Linked DNA regions of Lepisosteus oculatus. The protein of the gene in region 1 interacts with the protein of each later gene in a pairwise test. Links are inferred from orthologs where the notes say so. Each region holds a gene or a part of one and is shown on either strand. Other genes may lie near its edges. The genes, in order: plekha5 and pdzd11.

Region 1 (8,220 bases):
TTTCAACATTACTTTATTTAGCTTTTCTTGAGAGGCGTTGTGGGAATCGACAGTATAACTCAGTTTTTTCATTCTGTCAGTCATTCAGCAGCAGTCTAGTCAGAGCTGTCATTGAACAGTATTGTCAAGTTTTTTAATCCTCACTTAATTTTAAGAGAATGGAACAGTTATTCCCTTTTAAAAGAAATACATGGAAAGACGTTTTAAAAGAGATATTCTATTTTTTGCGGACTTGTACCCATTCTCCAGAATTATGTAGCACAATCCCTTTTTAAGACTTGGGATATTTGAACAGATTCAAACATAAATGATCGTCACCTCTTGTGATTCCCTCGTGCCATGCATTGCTACTTACTGCTGCTGTTTATGTCACGATCCTAATCCCTCCTCTTAAGGGCGCTCCAGCCTTTTCGGATTTTAGTTGATTTCGTGCAAATGCCCCGTTTTGTCCGTCTTTATTTAAGGCGGGCACTCCCGCTACGCTTGGCTCTGCCTTGGAAGACAGACGCCCAGAAGTCTGCCTAGCATCAAGATGCCCTACATCTGCGGCGTGAGGGCTTAGGCTTTGATCGGCGTCCACACCTGCTGAGTTCCGGACTCGGAGCTCCTGGCCTCATTACTGGTTTTATCCTCCTGGTTCCCTGTCCCTGTTCCGGATTTTTACCGTGTTTGTCTCGTCTCGGATTGTATCTTCCGGCCACCTGGACTCTGGACTGCGCCCTGTTTTTCCACTTTGCACCCCCACTGGACTTGTCTGCCTGCGCCACGCCCCCTGAGCGCCAGATCACAGCCGCCACGCCCCCCTGTCTGTCTTCCCGTCCTGCTCCTGCTGTGTTTCCCTAGAAGTCTTATTCCAGTCACTTCCAGCTTCCGGATTATACCGTCTGCACAGGGTCCCAAACTATGCATTGTGACAGTTTACTGGAGGGATGGATTAAATGGTTTAGTTAAGTCTGATTCTATGAATGACTTTAGTGTGAGACTGACTCAACATATGATGCATCAGACAACTGTCATGATGGGTGAGACACTGCGAGGCAGAGACTGGAAGAGTTTAATACTTTTCCCATTGCTTCCATATTTACCTTCTTCGGTAAGCGCCGAGATTCAGAACTGAAAAGGTTTGAAAGAGAGAATGCATGTTCACATTAAGCTCACAAACCTGGGGAAAACAACTGTTTCCTAACACAGTCGGGCTCTATTGCAAGTACAGTAAGTGTCATGCTTTTCTCAGTTACCACACTATGACATCTCTGTAGTTTAGACAGTGATAAGATTATTGACAGGAAGTAACCCTCCACCAGGACTATACCCATGTAAAAGTGTGAGTACTATAATACTTCAAATTTTGCCATCAGATGTTTCATATAGGGAGGCTCAATGGTTTGCATTATTGAGCCATTATTTCATTGCTACCTTGCAGTGCTGGGGCCCTGGGTTCAATTCCGGACCTCAGCAGCTGTGCGCATACAGTTTTTATGCTCTCTTTGCGTGGGTTTCCTTTAGGTGCTCAGATTTCCTCCCGCAATCCAAAGACATACTGGTGGGTTAAATGACCTCTGGGAAAATTGGCCCTTGTGTGAATGAGTGCGTGTTTCTGTCTGTGTGTGCCCTGAACTGGACTGGCGTCTCATCCAGGGCGTAGCCCACCTTGTGCCCATTGCTTGCTGGGATATAGGCTACAGCTCCCCTGCAACCCTGTATTGGATAAAGTATTTAGAAAAAAAATGCATGTTTGATATAGTTTCTTACATTGAGTGTAAATTTAGAATACTCACAGATGATTTTATAATACTACCTTAAACGATCCCTGTTCTTATCACTGTTGGGATGTGTTTATTGCAGTTCACATCAACTTTCACCGGACGTTGCGATATCATACTGTGCAAGGAAACAGATACAGCAGATTACTGACTCCTTTATTTTGTCTTTGAATTCTGTTTGCTGTGTCGTTGTGAATAGAAGACTGATGATTTTCACATTTTTTTGCCAAGGAGAAGAACTTACTTCCCATTTTGGAAAAAAAAGAAGAAGACATTAGGAGAAAATAATTTTGCTTAAACAGCTCTTATATAATGAGTGTGTTTTATACCATGAGAAAACAATTTACTGGTGATAAACTATTGAAGGGGAACTGCAATGCTATGTTGATATTTTGGGGTTAGAAAGAATTAGCATTGATGACTGCATTTCTACCCATAATAAAGATTTAATAAACCGTAATAAAGTAAAATGTACACAGTAACTTGTAAAACCTCCAATTTACACCAGTAGATGAGATTTCCAGGTACTGTATGCACAATGCCATATTCTGCGATTCAGAAGAAGGCAACAAAAGGTCCAGTGATGTGATGAGGCCTTATTACATTGTAAATAAGCAGGCTTGTGAATACAATCCAACAGAAATATTACCCTAGAAGGTTTTGCTGCTAAATGGAACTTGTTAACTCTGAGTGCAGATCACGATGGAAACTTGATGACTTTCTGCAGTGAAATATTTGTTGCATCTCCTGTACTTACTTCACTTGTGCAACCCATTACATTAGTCAGTGACTAGGGAGAAGGAAGGGCAAATTCACATAACAATTCTCGTCAATTCTTGCTGTCGCCCGTGGTGAGACATACTTTAATTTTAGAGGGAAAGGTACAATCCAGGTGTAGATCTATTAGCATATCCCCCAGTACTGATTAAAACATCCAATGTGAAGTGATCAGGTCGTCATTAGCCTTTTGAGTTCTGGCCTCGTCCGTTGTGCTGGATCCAACAACTATCGTCTTCAACGTGGGGGTACCAATATGATGTTGTACTGAAGGAAAATATACAGTACTACAGGATACCGACGTTTTAGCTTCTGTTCTGTCCTAAACAGACTACTGTTGCAAAGTATTTCCACGAAAATGAATGGAGAATACAGTAATTGCAAGAATACGATTCAACATGCGCGTAATGCACTGTGGTTTAATGATTAATATTTAATTACGTACAAGTGATAATAAAAAAGGACAAAACTTGATGTGATAGCCTCTTCTGAATGATTTACAGAAATCAATATACAGTTAGCACGGTTAATATTGTCCCACGCGATGTCTTTACTCATTGGTAAATCTGTTTTGACTGTGTGAATTTCCACTCAGATATTCTTATACCACTTCCTGTCTTCAGCTTTTAAAATTAGATGGATCTCTTTTCCAGAGCTACAAGTTTCCCACGATGGATTGGTTTTCATGTGTCTGTCTTTTCCTGGGAAAGAGATTAAGCAATAGAAGGTCTTTGCCGCCTAAATATGCAAATACCGATCGAAGCGCTTTAAAACCTGTAAACTCGTTATAATTACATTACACGAGGACATACGAGATTGTGTTACAACATAAAATCCACAGACTTGCAATCTGAAGTGTCACTGACGATGAATACATTTCACTGGTCGTATTTATTTGATCACGGTTGTAAAACATTAAGTGACAGGCGCAAACCTGTTCATACTGCACTGTATGTTGGAACGGTAACGCTAAGTAAAATAAATGATGTAATTCATTTCCGTCCAGAATTGACTGCACTGGTGATTCTTTCATTCATATCTCTCAGCCTACACAGATCTACAGTACGTCATCCCACTGGATCAAAATACCCCCCTTTGAAGCCCGCTGCTCAGTTTTCACAAGGGAAGAAGTCAGATTGTCACCTCGATCTCTCCACACTGAAGCGATCTCTGTTCTTGTCAGAAGTGCAGAAGAATTCCTTGTCAGACGAGCTCCATAATCACCCCAGTGTCTGTTCCGCGCAGTGCAGAAGCGTGCTCGTCTTGACTGGCACAATGCAAGCAGTGCTCTCACATGGCTTTGGAGCAGGGCGCCTGCTGAAGTTGCCCTTCTAGAGAAGAGGTCAGGGGTCATAACAAAACCTTCTGGAGAGCCGCAACTGGCCCTGGGTTCAGCCGTCTTTATCTTTATTGAATGAATGCACGCCATTATCATCGTCCCGCATTGTCGTAGAAAGCTGAGAGCTGCAAACACGAGGACATTTAGAAAGAAGCAAGATGCTAATGGGACATTACAGGTTTTATGTGTATGGATTTATTGTTAAGGACAGTTCACACACACACACACCTGTAAGGTTATTTATGAGACGCCTATTTTGCGGCACCGCGTCTGATGCTTTGCATGCGTTTTCCCCTTTGCTTTTTTAATCATTTTGTGAGGGAGACCAATCCCTTCATGTTGCAAAACCCCAAGAGGGAGACGTGACGCGGACGTCATCTCAGCATTTACACATCATTACTCGGTTACCTGCTTCGAGGCGGTTGCAGTTCGTTCTCTGGAAGTCACTTGTAGAGCCTTGGTTATCTTAAAATCTAAAATCAGGTTCACGGGAACTTAATCGAGGCAATAAAAATACAATGAGTGAACCATTCCCCCCCATAAAAGCTACAGACAGCAATGTGGAGAATACTGTACCTGCCTCATGTGTATCGGGATTAGTTATCCCCTATTTATTGCAATAGGTCCTGAATATATGACAGCTCGTTTCCAGACGTGGATTCATTTTCACCCGCTGCTCACGTCTGCATAAAACATGCCTCCAGATTTCCGCATGACAGGTCGGGGTGATCGCGAATCGACCAGTCTCTCTCCCGCTTCTCCCCGCTCCACGTGCTCACCCCCTGTCTCTTTAAGCACCCAGGCGATACCTGTCAGGAAAGGCGACAAGACACACCTTCCTTGTTTACACCACCCTTTTTATTCGAGCGGGGCTGAGAAGCCGACAGCAGCGCGACCAGTGAGCCGGGAGGCTGGCGTTTCGCAAGCACGCTCCCGCCCCCCCCTCCCCTCGAGAGGTCTGCCGCGCTCGGCGCGCTCTGCCTCCGACCCCGTTGCCTGGGCTCCCGTGTCCGCGCGGCGAGGACGCGCACTTCCAGCGCTGGAGATTGCCAGACATGGCGGCGGATCTCAATCCGGAGTGGCTGTCTTGCCTCCCGTCTTCTTGGAGTTATGGGGTCACCCGGGACGGACGTGTCTTCTTCATCAAGTAAATATCGAGTGGATACAGACCTTGGGATACATAGCCCTTTCCCCGGCTTGAATGTGCAGCTCACGCTGTTTTTATACGTTGTTTCCCTTTTTTTTTTATTTCTTACCCACAGCGAACAGGCTAAGAGTACAACCTGGTTGCATCCAGTCACTGGTGAGGCCGTAATTACTGGACACAGGAAAACTCCAGGTAAATGCTGCTTTGCCGCTGGCCGGGGCGCCTTTGCTGTGCACTGGCTTTGGTGTCGCGGAGGGACCAGGGAGGGCTTTAAGTCGCGTTTCCAGGGGTCTGTCGGTCGTGTCTCCAGAGTACTGCTGGTGTTGTTTACCGGTGTTCAAACATTAGGGCAAGAAATCTCAAGTGCGGCTGTCAGTGCACCAGCAGTGCTGGAAACGCACGCTCGCTCGGTAGCAGGTAAACGTGGGAACTAGAGACCGGCCAGAAAAAAAAAAGTAGTTCGTTCGTGTCGGAGAGACCTTCAGAATTGGTTTCAGGGGGTTGTCTTGTCATGTCATTACTTTTTTTTTTTGCGGTGGTGGTTGTGTTGAACGGTGCAACCTGCCACACGCGTTATAACGTAGCGTGGGGCGATCATGGATAGTCAAAAACCAGCGCCGGGGAAAAGTTGCCCCCTCGTCGCTTGGTTATTTTTTTTGTGTGTGTGTGTGTGCAGGCGGACTTTTGGTAGCAATCGGGTAGCGATCGCAGGTCGAGGAAGACGCCGCCGGGCGAGCGTGTTGTAGCTCGGTCAGGTAGCTGGAGCGAAGCGGGGGTGCGGCGGCGCTGGCGATGTGAGAGAGGCGCTATAAAAAAAAATAAAATAAAAATAAAATAAATGATCAAACCACGGGGAGCCCGAGACGCGAGGTCTTGCTTACAAATGAGCCTACGGCGTGTCGAGTCGGTGGACCCGCTGATTTCCCCCTAAAGGAAAGAGAGGAAAAAGGAGGAATTTCACAAATACTGTCCTGCGACGCGTGTGTTTGTTGCTGTTGACACGGAGCCGTGCGAGGAACAGGCTCTTATAAAATAGCATTACCCCCGCGTTTAAAAGCCCCGTACGCCCGTTCGCTCCGCGTAAAGGTTGTGCAGTTGTGGGGAAAAAAATGCGATGAGAAATGATCAGCCTGCTCCTCCGGTAGCGGTCTCGCCGGTTGTGTTATCACCGCTGGTGCTGCAGTACAGCGGGAGCGGTGGAAAACAGCCCAGTGACCCACTAATGGCACTGCGCATCGCTCCGCAGAGCAGGACAGCGCCTGCAGGTCACCAGCATCTGTCTCTCCCTGCTCTGTAAAGTTATAAAGTGTTTTTTTTTTTCTCTCCTTCTTCTGTTTTACTTAGACTTGCCCACTGGCTGGGAAGAAGGATTCACGTTCGAGGGAGCTCGGTGCTTCATAAAGTGAGTTGGCATCCACCCGCGAACAGCCGCCCGTGTTTAAAAAGCTGCGGAGTTTGGCGTCGTGCTTTTTGACACTTGGTGACTCTCGGAAAAGCGCCCCCCTCTCCCCTTTCCTCTACTGTCTGCCCTCTTTCCCTTTTGGGATGTTTGTAAAATCTCCCCCCCCCCCCCTTGGTGCTTTGCAAGGAGAGAGGGAAAAGTGCAGAAAACGAGGTATCTCTCCCAGAGCTCACCTTTACTGTCAGACTGAGCTCTAGTTTTGGAAGTCGGTGTGACTCAGCCCCCTCTCGGTTGAACAGGCTTGACTTGTATGACAGCACACCTCCTTCGGGACAGAACATCAGGTCTCTAGTTTGTACACGTTATTTCAGAGCCTTGGGTTTTTATATATATTCAAAAGCAGTGGATTTTGCCGTCACACTGCTGAAAGGTGATCTGGGCTGCAGAGACTTCAAATGCAAGCCTGAGTTTCTCTAAATGCTCTCTTTGGAGGAGAACGTCCCTGCTGATGGGTGCTGTGCATTTGCCCTGCATTGAAAGTGGTAAAAGTGGTTTTTTTTCATGCATCGGTGTTAAAGTCCGTATGGGGTGTTTGTTTTTTGGAGATGCTATGTGAAGCCATTTCTGTCTGGTGGTGAAGGAATGAACAGAAACAATTTCTTTCTCTTTTGAGTGTGGTGGATTTAGCCTTAGAATGTAGAGGAACAACTGGTGCAAAAAAAAAAAAGCTTTCTCCTCCCTGAAATGAGATAGGTTTAGTTATTTACTAGTTTAAATATGTTTAATGGAGGGCTATACAAATGGAAATGAGCATGCCAGAGATAATAGATTGTATGTTGTCCCTAGGCTGTTTTATGAAGGAAATATATTTGCTTTTTGCCAAGACCGATTATTGTGTCATTATTTTGTGTTTAGCTTTGGAAACACTTCAGCTCTTTATCAGTGATTCATTCATTCACACAAAGGATGCTTCCATGTCACACTCTGAGTTTTGTGGTGGAAATGATGTTAAGATGCACTATTCATTCTGTGCCATTTTTGGACAGCTGATAAAACATGATTTTTTTTTAAATTCGTAATTAGAGTGCACAATGGTGTCGGAGCCTAAGCTGAAGTTTATATGGTGTGAAGAGGTAGAGTGCAAGGTTGGGCTGTCAGTCGAGTTCTTTTTATCTTGTATGCATTTAAAAAAACATTATATAGGGTTCATGCACACCTGTCAATATAATATTAAATACACTCATCAAGATTCTTCATATTTAATATGATTTGAGCCTTTTGCATTCTGGAGAGTGATTTTAAAATGTACTGTACCTGTCATCTTGAAGACAAAAGTCACTTTTTAGAGGAAGGCGTTTGGCCCATCTATCCTGTTTGATATTTAGAGGCCTAGTGATCCAGGAATCTCATCCAGCTGTTTCTTGAAGGGTGTCAGGGTGTCGACTTCATCAAAGTGACTGGGCAGCTTGTTCCAGCATCTCTTTGTGTAAAAAGCATAAAGACGTGCCTCCTGTCCTGCTTGAGGGATCTCATTCATCTTGTTCTTGAAAGAACCCATGGTGCTGGCTTCAACAACAACAACTGCGGGGCTTTTTCTGACTTCTTGTTCTTGGGGAATATGTGTTTTTCAAACTGTATTAAAAATCATTAGTAGAATCATTAATCATTAGAGTTCACAAGGTCACATTTTGTGACCAGTTTGATCTTTTTAGGAAGAAACTTTTAGAAATCTTCAGCTAAATTTTGGTAAAAGACTATATCACATTAAACCATCCTAATAAGCAGCAATATG
Region 2 (8,964 bases), on another chromosome or scaffold:
CAGGTTTGTGGGATACATTAAGGAATAATTTGGAATCATTGTTTTCTTCTTGCCCCAAAGAATTCCACTTCCTTAAGTTTCCTAAAACCACAGATGAATATAAAAATAAAAATATCAGGTTACTAGGAACAAACAGACCTATCAACAAGCAAGGTACAGTAGCAATCGTACATTGTCCATGTGGTATATTTCCTATCTAGAATGTCAAATGTCATAATGTCATATTGTTAATGTTTCATAGCAGGGCTGAACCACAGACCAGCTGAGGAGCAATTTTGTGGAACAAATACTCAAATGCTGAACTGATACTTTGTCAAAGCCTTCCTTGTCTGGCCGAAAAGGAAAGAGGTGTCTCAGTCAACTGCCTTGAAGACATTGCAACACAGATATGAATAAAAGTTGCTCGTCTTGTCTAACTAGCTAAAATCAGAAGTTCTTCCACACTTTCCAAGGCCAACCAGGGAAGCAGGAAGGAGCTACAACTGTTGTTTCTGGGCACTGAAATCAATAAATAAAAATAATCATAAATTGAAATTAGGTTCAATTTCAGACATTCAGACCAGACATTCCTCCTGGTATGATTACTAAGAGAACAGAAGTTACTGAAAGCTACAGTACCCATGTTCATAAAAGCAGGGGTGTTTTTACACCAGTATTACAGTTGAGTTTCTCTATGTTTACGCAGTCTGCTCTCCCAGGTTTTCCAATTTAATGTAATTGGTGGAGCTGTTTGTCAGCTGTTAATCTTGCTTAACCATCTATTGTCAGTGATTAAATATCAATCACAAAAATACAGAGCACATGCCCCCAGCTATTTATTTTTAAGGGGGACATTGGTTCATTCATAAAAGTATGCAAAACACAAAGAGTTGTGGGAGTCTGGAATCAGGTACTCGTACGAATGTCAGAAAGCACTGCCATGCACCTGGGCTCAAATCACCTAAGAAAAAGTACATAAGGCAGACAGGCCAAATGACCCCTGTCATTTTCAAACAATCTTATGCCTGTCTACTCTTTCCTGGTTAGGTGTCTTCTCCTTTGAAAAGTGGACTTTCAATCCAAAATAATTGTTTTGGCCCACTTCAGCTCTCCTCAGCGCAGGAGGGGCAACTCTTTTGACATCCTCCAGGCTCCTTCACCATCCGGGCATCCTCCGTCATCTCACCTGTCCTCGGGGGCTGCCGCTCACTCTCTGGCTCAGCCTGCGAATTTGCTGTCTCAGAATCCAGTATGTTATTTGATGACATCCTGCAAGAGACACGAACCCGTAAGGATTAGACCGATACTCTAACGACGTCTCAACAACACTGGGAGCTACAGCAGGAAGCTTCTCTACAGTACGTTTCCCAGGTATTGGTGAAGAAGTGACATTTGAATATACTTTATATCAGTTTAATGTGTAAAAAATGGCACTTTTAAACAGGCCACGCTTCATTTGTATTCAGAACAAGATATAACTGTAACTGTTCAGGTAGGGAGCTGCGTCAGCATGCGTAGGCTGCAAAGGAACAATATACTATAATAGGTTTATTCCATGCTGAAAAAAAGAAGAAAGAGAACACAACGTTTCGGCCGTGGAGCCTTCTTCAGGAGCCTTCTTCTCCACCTGAAGAAGGCTCCACGGCCGAAACGTTGTGTTCTCTTTCTTCTTTTTTTCAGCATGGAATAAACCTATTACTTGTTCCATAACTGTAACTGTTCCTTTTTTTCTGTTGGAAATGGCTCCGTCTCTTCTCAGCCCCCATCCCGAAGTTGAAGCTGTCTAGCCTGACAGGCGAATCCACTCTTCGGCGATCGAACGTCTCACTCACCTCCTGGGAACAGGGGGAGGGGCTGGTGTGCTTTCCACGGACCAAGTGTATCTGGCCCGAGGTTTGGGAACCGGGGGGGTCACCTCACTGTCAACGGGGGCTGACATCCTGGCCAGATCCCGACTGCGACTGGAAGAGCAAGAGAAGGACAGTCCGGACAGGCAGCGAGGAGAAATCGCGTTTCGGCTGCCAGCGGGGCAGGAAAGGCAGGGGAGTTCCTGGCCGTGTCACTGGATGAAACAAGACCCGCCCCTCCGCACGGCCTTCCCCCAGGCAGGTCCAGCTGTCAGCCTGTGACAGGACCTAACAGCCAGCAGCTCTGCAACACACAACTGGCTACACGCTGAAGCTCAGCAACCCACACGCTGCAGCGAGCAAACACTAAGAGCAACAAGCCACTGGAGCCAGTACCCGGAGGGGAGACACCTGGGAAATCTGAGGTTGCTGCTGGAAGAGGTGTTACTGGAACCAGCAGGGGGCGCTCACCCTGCGGTCTGTGTGGGTCCTAAAGCCCCAGTATACTGACGGGGACACTCTACTGTAAAAAGACAGTGATGAGACATAAAACTGAGCTCTTGACTCTGTGGTCATTAAAAAAAAGCGTAGGGTTGTTAGCCCAGTGTCCTGGCCAGACTCCTCCCCTGGCCCTTAAAAATCATGGCCTCCTAATAATCCCCATCCCTGAACTGGCTTCATCACTGCTCTCCTCGCCACTGAGAGCTGGTGTGTGGGGAAAGGACTGGTTTACTCTGGCTGCCGTCGCATCATCCAGGTGGGGCTGCACAGTGTGTCCAGAAAAGCACTATACAAGTGTAAGGAATTATTTTTAGGATTTCATTTACACCAACATGTAAGGGGGAAAAACACATTTTGAGGCACTTAGGAATATGACTGGAGAAGAAAAAGAGTCTGACTAGATTGGTACTTTCCAGGACCTGGACTGAGTCTCTTGCCATAATATAACTGACTTACTTTCATGCTCTGCAGCTCAATGTATATTTACTTATGAAAAAAAGAAGTTACATTAGTTAACCGCATGGTGCCTATTTTAATCCATTTTTACATAATGCTTGCTCACTTCAGTCATAAATGCCATCTGTAGATAAAAGCCTTCCAAAATAGTCCTGCCTATATCATTGGCATAACAGTGCACAGGATGGCAAAGAGTTAACAGTATTTTTTGTTGATGTTTTCTAGGGGGTTCAGGCTGAGGTTTGTTATCTGAGTATAAAGATTCAAGCGTTTTGCGCTGTCACTGCACAGTTCTTATCAGGTATTTGGTTGCAAAACAACACAGATCTGTGCCAATGCATTTCCCCAAACTTATTTTGCTGCCTGTGTGTCTATTTTCCCGGTATGTATTTTCATGTAAATGTATCAGATTGGTGCATTGGTGGGGTTTCAGGGGTTCAGTATTCTTGGGGTTCCAAAAATTAAAGCAACTATACCATCAAGCCACACACGGGTCACACGATCCATGCCGATAAAAAGTGCCTATCTCAATGCCTAGTCATCGTAATGCTTGAGTCTGACTTGCGGTTTTCAAAGTAAGATACGACAGCTTAAATAAGTAAGAGGGAACAAACATACTGAGCTGAATATTTCCCTAGAAAAGCATTTGCTTTCATTAACTGGGTCTATCAAAACAACTGAGGTAAATGCAGGAGGGTATTAAAATATCAAACTCAACGCGCGTAAACGGTGGGTACTTACAAACCCCAACACTTTAATTTCCAAACACGCGGTTAATTTCCAGACTCCACGCACGACTTTCTCTGCTCGGGCTTCAAACTGACAAATGCCCCTTTCCCCGCTTTCCAGTCCAACACAGGTGCAGCTAGATCTACCGGAGATCCTCTGGGCCGCTCGTCCGTCTCAGGAAGGACGACAGGAGCAGCCGTCAGACGCTCTCGGGTCCTAACGTGGGGAAGGATGAGGCGAGGGAGGGAGCCATGCCTACCTTCTCGCGGCTCCTGGGCTTCGGGGTTCTGTCCTGCGCAGCGAAGTCACCCCGTTTCCGTGACTGTAGTGGGTCTGGGCTCGCGGCTGGTCGCGTCACCGGCTGATTCACCCGTTCGACCGGTTTCGGCGACTCGGCAGCGCTGACACGATGCACGCCCCTGACGTGAACAAAAAAAAAACTATCAATAAACAAACAAGTATCTTCTGCCCGAGAAAATCTAATTGTTTCCTGGATATGCTCATGATTCATAGGCGTTTAGGTGTCAAAAATGAAACGGACAGCCCCAGTTCCGTACTGTAGATTACGATAGTAATGTAGTTCAGGTGGGGAGCTGCGTCAGCATGCGTAGGCTGCAAAGGGACACGTTAATAGGTTTATTCCATGCTGAAAAGAGAAGAGAGGAAACACAACGTTTCGTCTGTGAAGCTTTCTTCGTGTGTGTTGAAGAAGGCTTCACAGCCGAAACGTTGTGTTTTCTCTCTTCTTTTTTTCAGCATGGAATAAACCTATACTTACGATAGTAATGAACACTGTAAGGGCTGGTTTCATTACGACGGCTCTAGAGGTGATAATCTAAATAGCATGACAAGGCAGACCAAGATGACAGCTAACCGCTGTCTGTGAAAACAAGAGTGTTTGCACATAGACTACGTGGAAAATTCTACGGTACTGAAAAAAACAACATAGATATATATACTGTAAAACATTTATGTGAGCATATTTTTATAAATGTAAAAATACGGTACGTGGTAGATTTGTGAACTATTTTTTTTACTTTGAAGAAAGAACGGTAGCGATGATGAAATATTCGACCTAAACGTGGCATAAACGCCTTTTACAGTTATTTTACCCCTGGCGTTTACCAGTCATGGCCTCCCCATGATCCCCATCTCCGAACTGGTTTCATCCCCCTGCTCTCCTCCCCACTGAGAGCTGGTGTGTGGGCAGAGGACTGGTGCATCATCCAGGTGGGGCTGCACACTGGTGGCGGAGGGGAGTCCTTTGAGTGGAGTGTCCAGAAAGCGCGATATACTGTAAGTGTAAAGAATTATTATTATTATTATTATTATTATTATTATTATTATTATTATTATTGTTCTCAGTATTGAAGACTAAAAAGGTTCAGTTCAAAAGTCAGAATGTCAGTTTAGGTAAATTACTTCAGCCTAGAAATATATGTGGGTATTCTTTTCTGGACTGATTCCAGAGTAACAAAATATTTTCCGATGTAGTGGCCATAATTCCCCAAACTCTTGGGGATTCTTGCTTTGCGCCGTAATGCCCAACATATTCTCTCAATCACTCAGCTGTGACGGACCGCACGGGGGCAGGCGCTTCCAGTCATGTGACAGTGGAGGCCGGTCAGCTGACGAGGGAGGGGGTGGGCGTGGCATGGACTGAGGCTGGCAGGGAGCGACTTGACTTCCGCTTGGTGAGATCGGAATTTTCCAACCTGTAATGTTATATAACCCAAACTGTAAGATCGCCGCGGTTTGATTTCCCTGCTCGCAGATGAGGAGTGAATGGGTTTAGTGTAGCGTGTAGCACCTGAATCAGGTAAACAGGACGTACTGATTTAAGGCTTAGGTTCAGGGACACCCGCTGCCTGATGTTTTTTAGTAGGCATGAACCACCCGATAGCTCTTGGAATTTCAAACTGATATTTACCCTGCGCGCAGAGCGGCGAGGGTGATTTGTGTATAAAACGGTGTCATCTGTTACAGTTAAAGACGGTTTTGTCGACTAGGAAATATAATGCGTTCGTAGCTTCGGCTTAGTCCTTGCTCATTCTTTAATACGGAACCGACCCTTCGCGGTGGCTGTCCGCGACAGATGCTTTATTTCACTCAGATGTAATGTCAACACGCAGAACTCCCTCTTCTGAGCGGCCGCTAAATGTTCATCTGCTCACCCCCAGGTGAAGGATACAAGCAGCGTTCTTCTCGTTATGACACGGTTCAGTGAAAAGTATTTTGATGAACAAGATCTCCCATGTATCTCTCCTGCATGTCTTTCAATTTCTCACCCGATTCCGCGACTTTGAAACTTTTTTTTTGGGTGTGTGAAAACTGGCGATAAATGATTTTACAGCAGGGTGGTTAAACGACTTGCGCAACTGATCTAAGGGATGTTGTTTTAAAGTGCGGTAGGCAAAATTAATTTCAGGGAGTGAATCCGGTAGTGCAGGTAGAATCATGTCATTCTTAACGTTGTTTTCCGCAGGAAATTTGCCTGACGTGTTTTCCTTCAAGGTGTGCTTCGTGACTACGATTCAGAAATGACTATATCTCCGAATTTACAAAAAAGAGACCGGGGAAAATATAGAGCGTAATAAACAGTACATTTCAATTTACGCTTGTGTAGATATTAACGATGGAAAAAGTTCTAAATCATTTTACAATAAAAAGAGTACAATAAAAAACACATAGAATTCAAGAATCACCGCTAACAACAATAACATTTGATCAGTTCAAATTGTGCATGCAGATGGAAAGACAAAAATGTCTTGAGATTAGCTTAAAAATAGCAATGGTGTGAGAAAGCAGACACATTTTGAGCAGGAGTTTCCTGTGATCTGGGTATAGACAGAGAGGGCTTAGGAGACAGACCAGAGCCCAGCTGCTGCAGAGTTCTGAGCAGACTGAGGACGAGTAGAATTAACATGGGTTCCTGGAACAGCGGAATCTAATCCTTTATCCTCTTGTTTTAAATGCAGGTTCTTATTGCAGTTTGTTTATTTGTCTGCAGTCTGTTTTAAATGCAGTTTGTTTTATTGGCTGAATATTAATTCCAAACATGCACTGAGGGCCTTCTGCTTTCCTACAATATCATTCACAGTTATTGTTATAACCTTGTCCAGCAGCTTTTGATTACTGTTCAAAGGGGCAGTGTTCCAGTGTGTTTCGAGTACTGTGCACATGGCTAGTTTGCTTGTTCCAGACACCCACAACCCTCTGTGTAAAGAGGTTCCTCCTGTTCGCAGTCCTCAGAGCCTCGGTGTTGTGGCTTGTGACGGGTGTGGCACTCATGGACCAGAAGATTCCCTACGATGACTATCAGCTCCCGGTGGTCTTCCTGCCTTCATATGAAAACCCCCCAGCATGGATACCCCCACAGGAGGTATTTTCAGGGACTTGATGTCCCACAGCCCCTGCAGTGTCTAGCAGTCTGTCTTTTACACATCAGACTTTCTTTAGCTTGCTTTTGGTTAAGGTGTTAAGGGTTTGAGGTTGAAAATGGTTGTGATTAAACATTTGCCTTCAGGTGGTCTTCCAGAATTTTGACTTGTGTTCTAGTTTTACATGGGTGTGTCGGAAACCTGCCATGAGAATATTTGAAGCACAGGGACAGCAATTATACAGCTATTCACACCCTTGTGCATCTCAGCTGAATATCACAGACTTTCTCTTTCATTATTACCAGTTGTTCTACTTTTTATTCAAGTTTGCATTCGGCTTGACACACTAGTTTTCAGCTAGTAGACCCGCTTAACAAGATATACAATATTACAAAAAATACAAATGACAGTAAATGAATACAGTTCATCCAGTGCGGGGGTGGCCAGCCCAGGTCTCAGAGAGCTGAGGTCAATCGTGGGAACTCGGAAGACCCTGTGGCTTTCCAGGCCCGCAGGTGCAAATTCCTGATTTAATTGATCCAATTAACTGGCCGGGCGACGTGACCCTCAGAAGCCGGTGCTGTCAGGTCAGGTCAGGTCAGGTCAGGGTGAGCTCTGGGGGGCCAGCCCTGCTCCAGTGAAGCCTGTGTGGTCCTGCTCTGTGTGCCGGCCCAGTGCCTACAGAATCCTCCTGCCGTCCCCTCCCCAGCGGATCCACCACCACGACTACAACAACGAGCTGTCGCAGTTTCTGCCGCGGACCATCGTCCTGAAGAAGCCTCCGGGGGCGCAGCTGGGCTTCAACATCCGCGGGGGGAAAGCCTCCCAGCTGGGCATCTTCATCTCCAAGGTGGGCCCCCGGCTCTGCGCTGTTGGGATGGCAGCCCCGTCGTAGCTTGACAGACCCCTCTCCCCCTCGGTGCTGACGGGCCGGTCCCTTCTCTCTGTGCGCCGGCAGGTGGTGCCCGACTCGGATGCCCACAGGGCGGGGCTGCAGGAGGGGGACCAGGTGCTGTGTGTGAACGACGTCGACTTTCAGGACATCGAGCACTCGAGGGTGAGCCTGCCAGCGCGGCCCCTGCGCTCTTCCTGACTGGGGCTCGTGCTCCGCTCAGAGCCCTTAAGACCTTCTCACGGGAGGAGCTTCGGGTCCCTGTGAACACCGGCCACCGGAGTGGCTCAGTATCCGCGCTGCCGGGGTGTATGAGCTCATGGTGCTCGAGTCTGCGTGCTGTGGAAGGTGCGCTGCACCTCCAGCTTTGTGCTGGCTGATCGCCCTCTTGCGCAGTGATTTTTTTCTTGCGCTTCGCACATAATGTCATCACTGTAACCCAGATGCCCCTGGGCGTCTGCTCAGCAATAAGAATCATCCTGCCAGTACTATGGGTTATGGCTGCAGTTTGGCTCGTGCCGCTGTTATGGGTCTGGGCTGGCAGGAGGAGTGAAGCCCTGTGCTGTGTTAACGCTTTCAGTGTATCAGTGTTCAGGATTATGGTTTTTCATACTTATTCTGCCCTTTTTTTCCCCTTGCCTCCCCCAGGCTGTGGAGATTCTGAAAACTGCCAGAGAGATCCTGATGAGGGTGCGCTTCTTCCCCTACAGTGAGTACGGCTCTCGCGCCCCTCTCCCAGTAGCAGCCTGTCAGTGGCTTTGCTTGCTTTCGTTTCTGTTTATCACCAGTGCACGCTGAATTTGAAACCTTTTCACTTTCACAACAAAATTGGGCAAAAAAGAGCCCTCCAGCCTCACCAGCCTGAATGTTCAGTGCTTCACGGCCTCTGCTGCTGGCTGATGAACAGATCTTCAAGCGTGTGTCCTGCAGGTGGGCAGAACGGAATGGTTTGCATGCGTCGTTATCCAGCCCCAGCGGAATGACACGAGCCCGGCCTGCAGTGAGAGGGGGACGCGGAGCAGGTTTTTCTCCCGTCCTCCAGACACGCAGAGGGGGAAGACCTTCAGGCTTCCCCCAGACAGCCGATGGCGAGGCCTTGCCGTGGTTCCCAGCCCTGTTGGCGTTGGCGTGTGTGAGCTTGACCTTCTGGCTGGAGGGGGTGTTCACATCCTTTGCCACC

Evidence for each region.
Region 2: the proteins of plekha5 (region 1) and pdzd11 interact in binary tests that used the Homo sapiens proteins (3 or more experiments, as listed by UniProt). The two-hybrid records come from large-scale screens. The link is inferred for Lepisosteus oculatus from reciprocal best matches to the Homo sapiens genes PLEKHA5 and PDZD11.

Annotation. Positions count from the first base shown.
Region 1 is NC_090702.1:49,614,053-49,622,272, forward strand, and holds the start of plekha5 (pleckstrin homology domain-containing family A member 5), read left to right. Parts: upstream 1-4,836; 5' UTR 4,837-4,934; coding exon 4,935-5,026; intron 5,027-5,141; coding exon 5,142-5,218; intron 5,219-6,370; coding exon 6,371-6,428; intron 6,429-8,220.
Region 2 is NC_090703.1:49,864,549-49,873,512, reverse strand, and holds the start of pdzd11 (PDZ domain-containing protein 11), read left to right. Parts: upstream 1-5,360; 5' UTR 5,361-5,670; coding exon 5,671-5,692; intron 5,693-6,757; coding exon 6,758-6,894; intron 6,895-7,567; coding exon of another isoform or gene 7,568-7,601; coding exon 7,602-7,742; intron 7,743-7,850; coding exon 7,851-7,949; intron 7,950-8,432; coding exon 8,433-8,493; intron 8,494-8,964. Other genes in the region: arf-GAP with Rho-GAP domain, ANK repeat and PH domain-containing protein 1, read right to left, coding at 1-81, 1,166-1,248, 1,812-1,918. UniProt on the Homo sapiens protein: Mediates docking of ADAM10 to zonula adherens by interacting with PLEKHA7 which is required for PLEKHA7 to interact with the ADAM10-binding protein TSPAN33.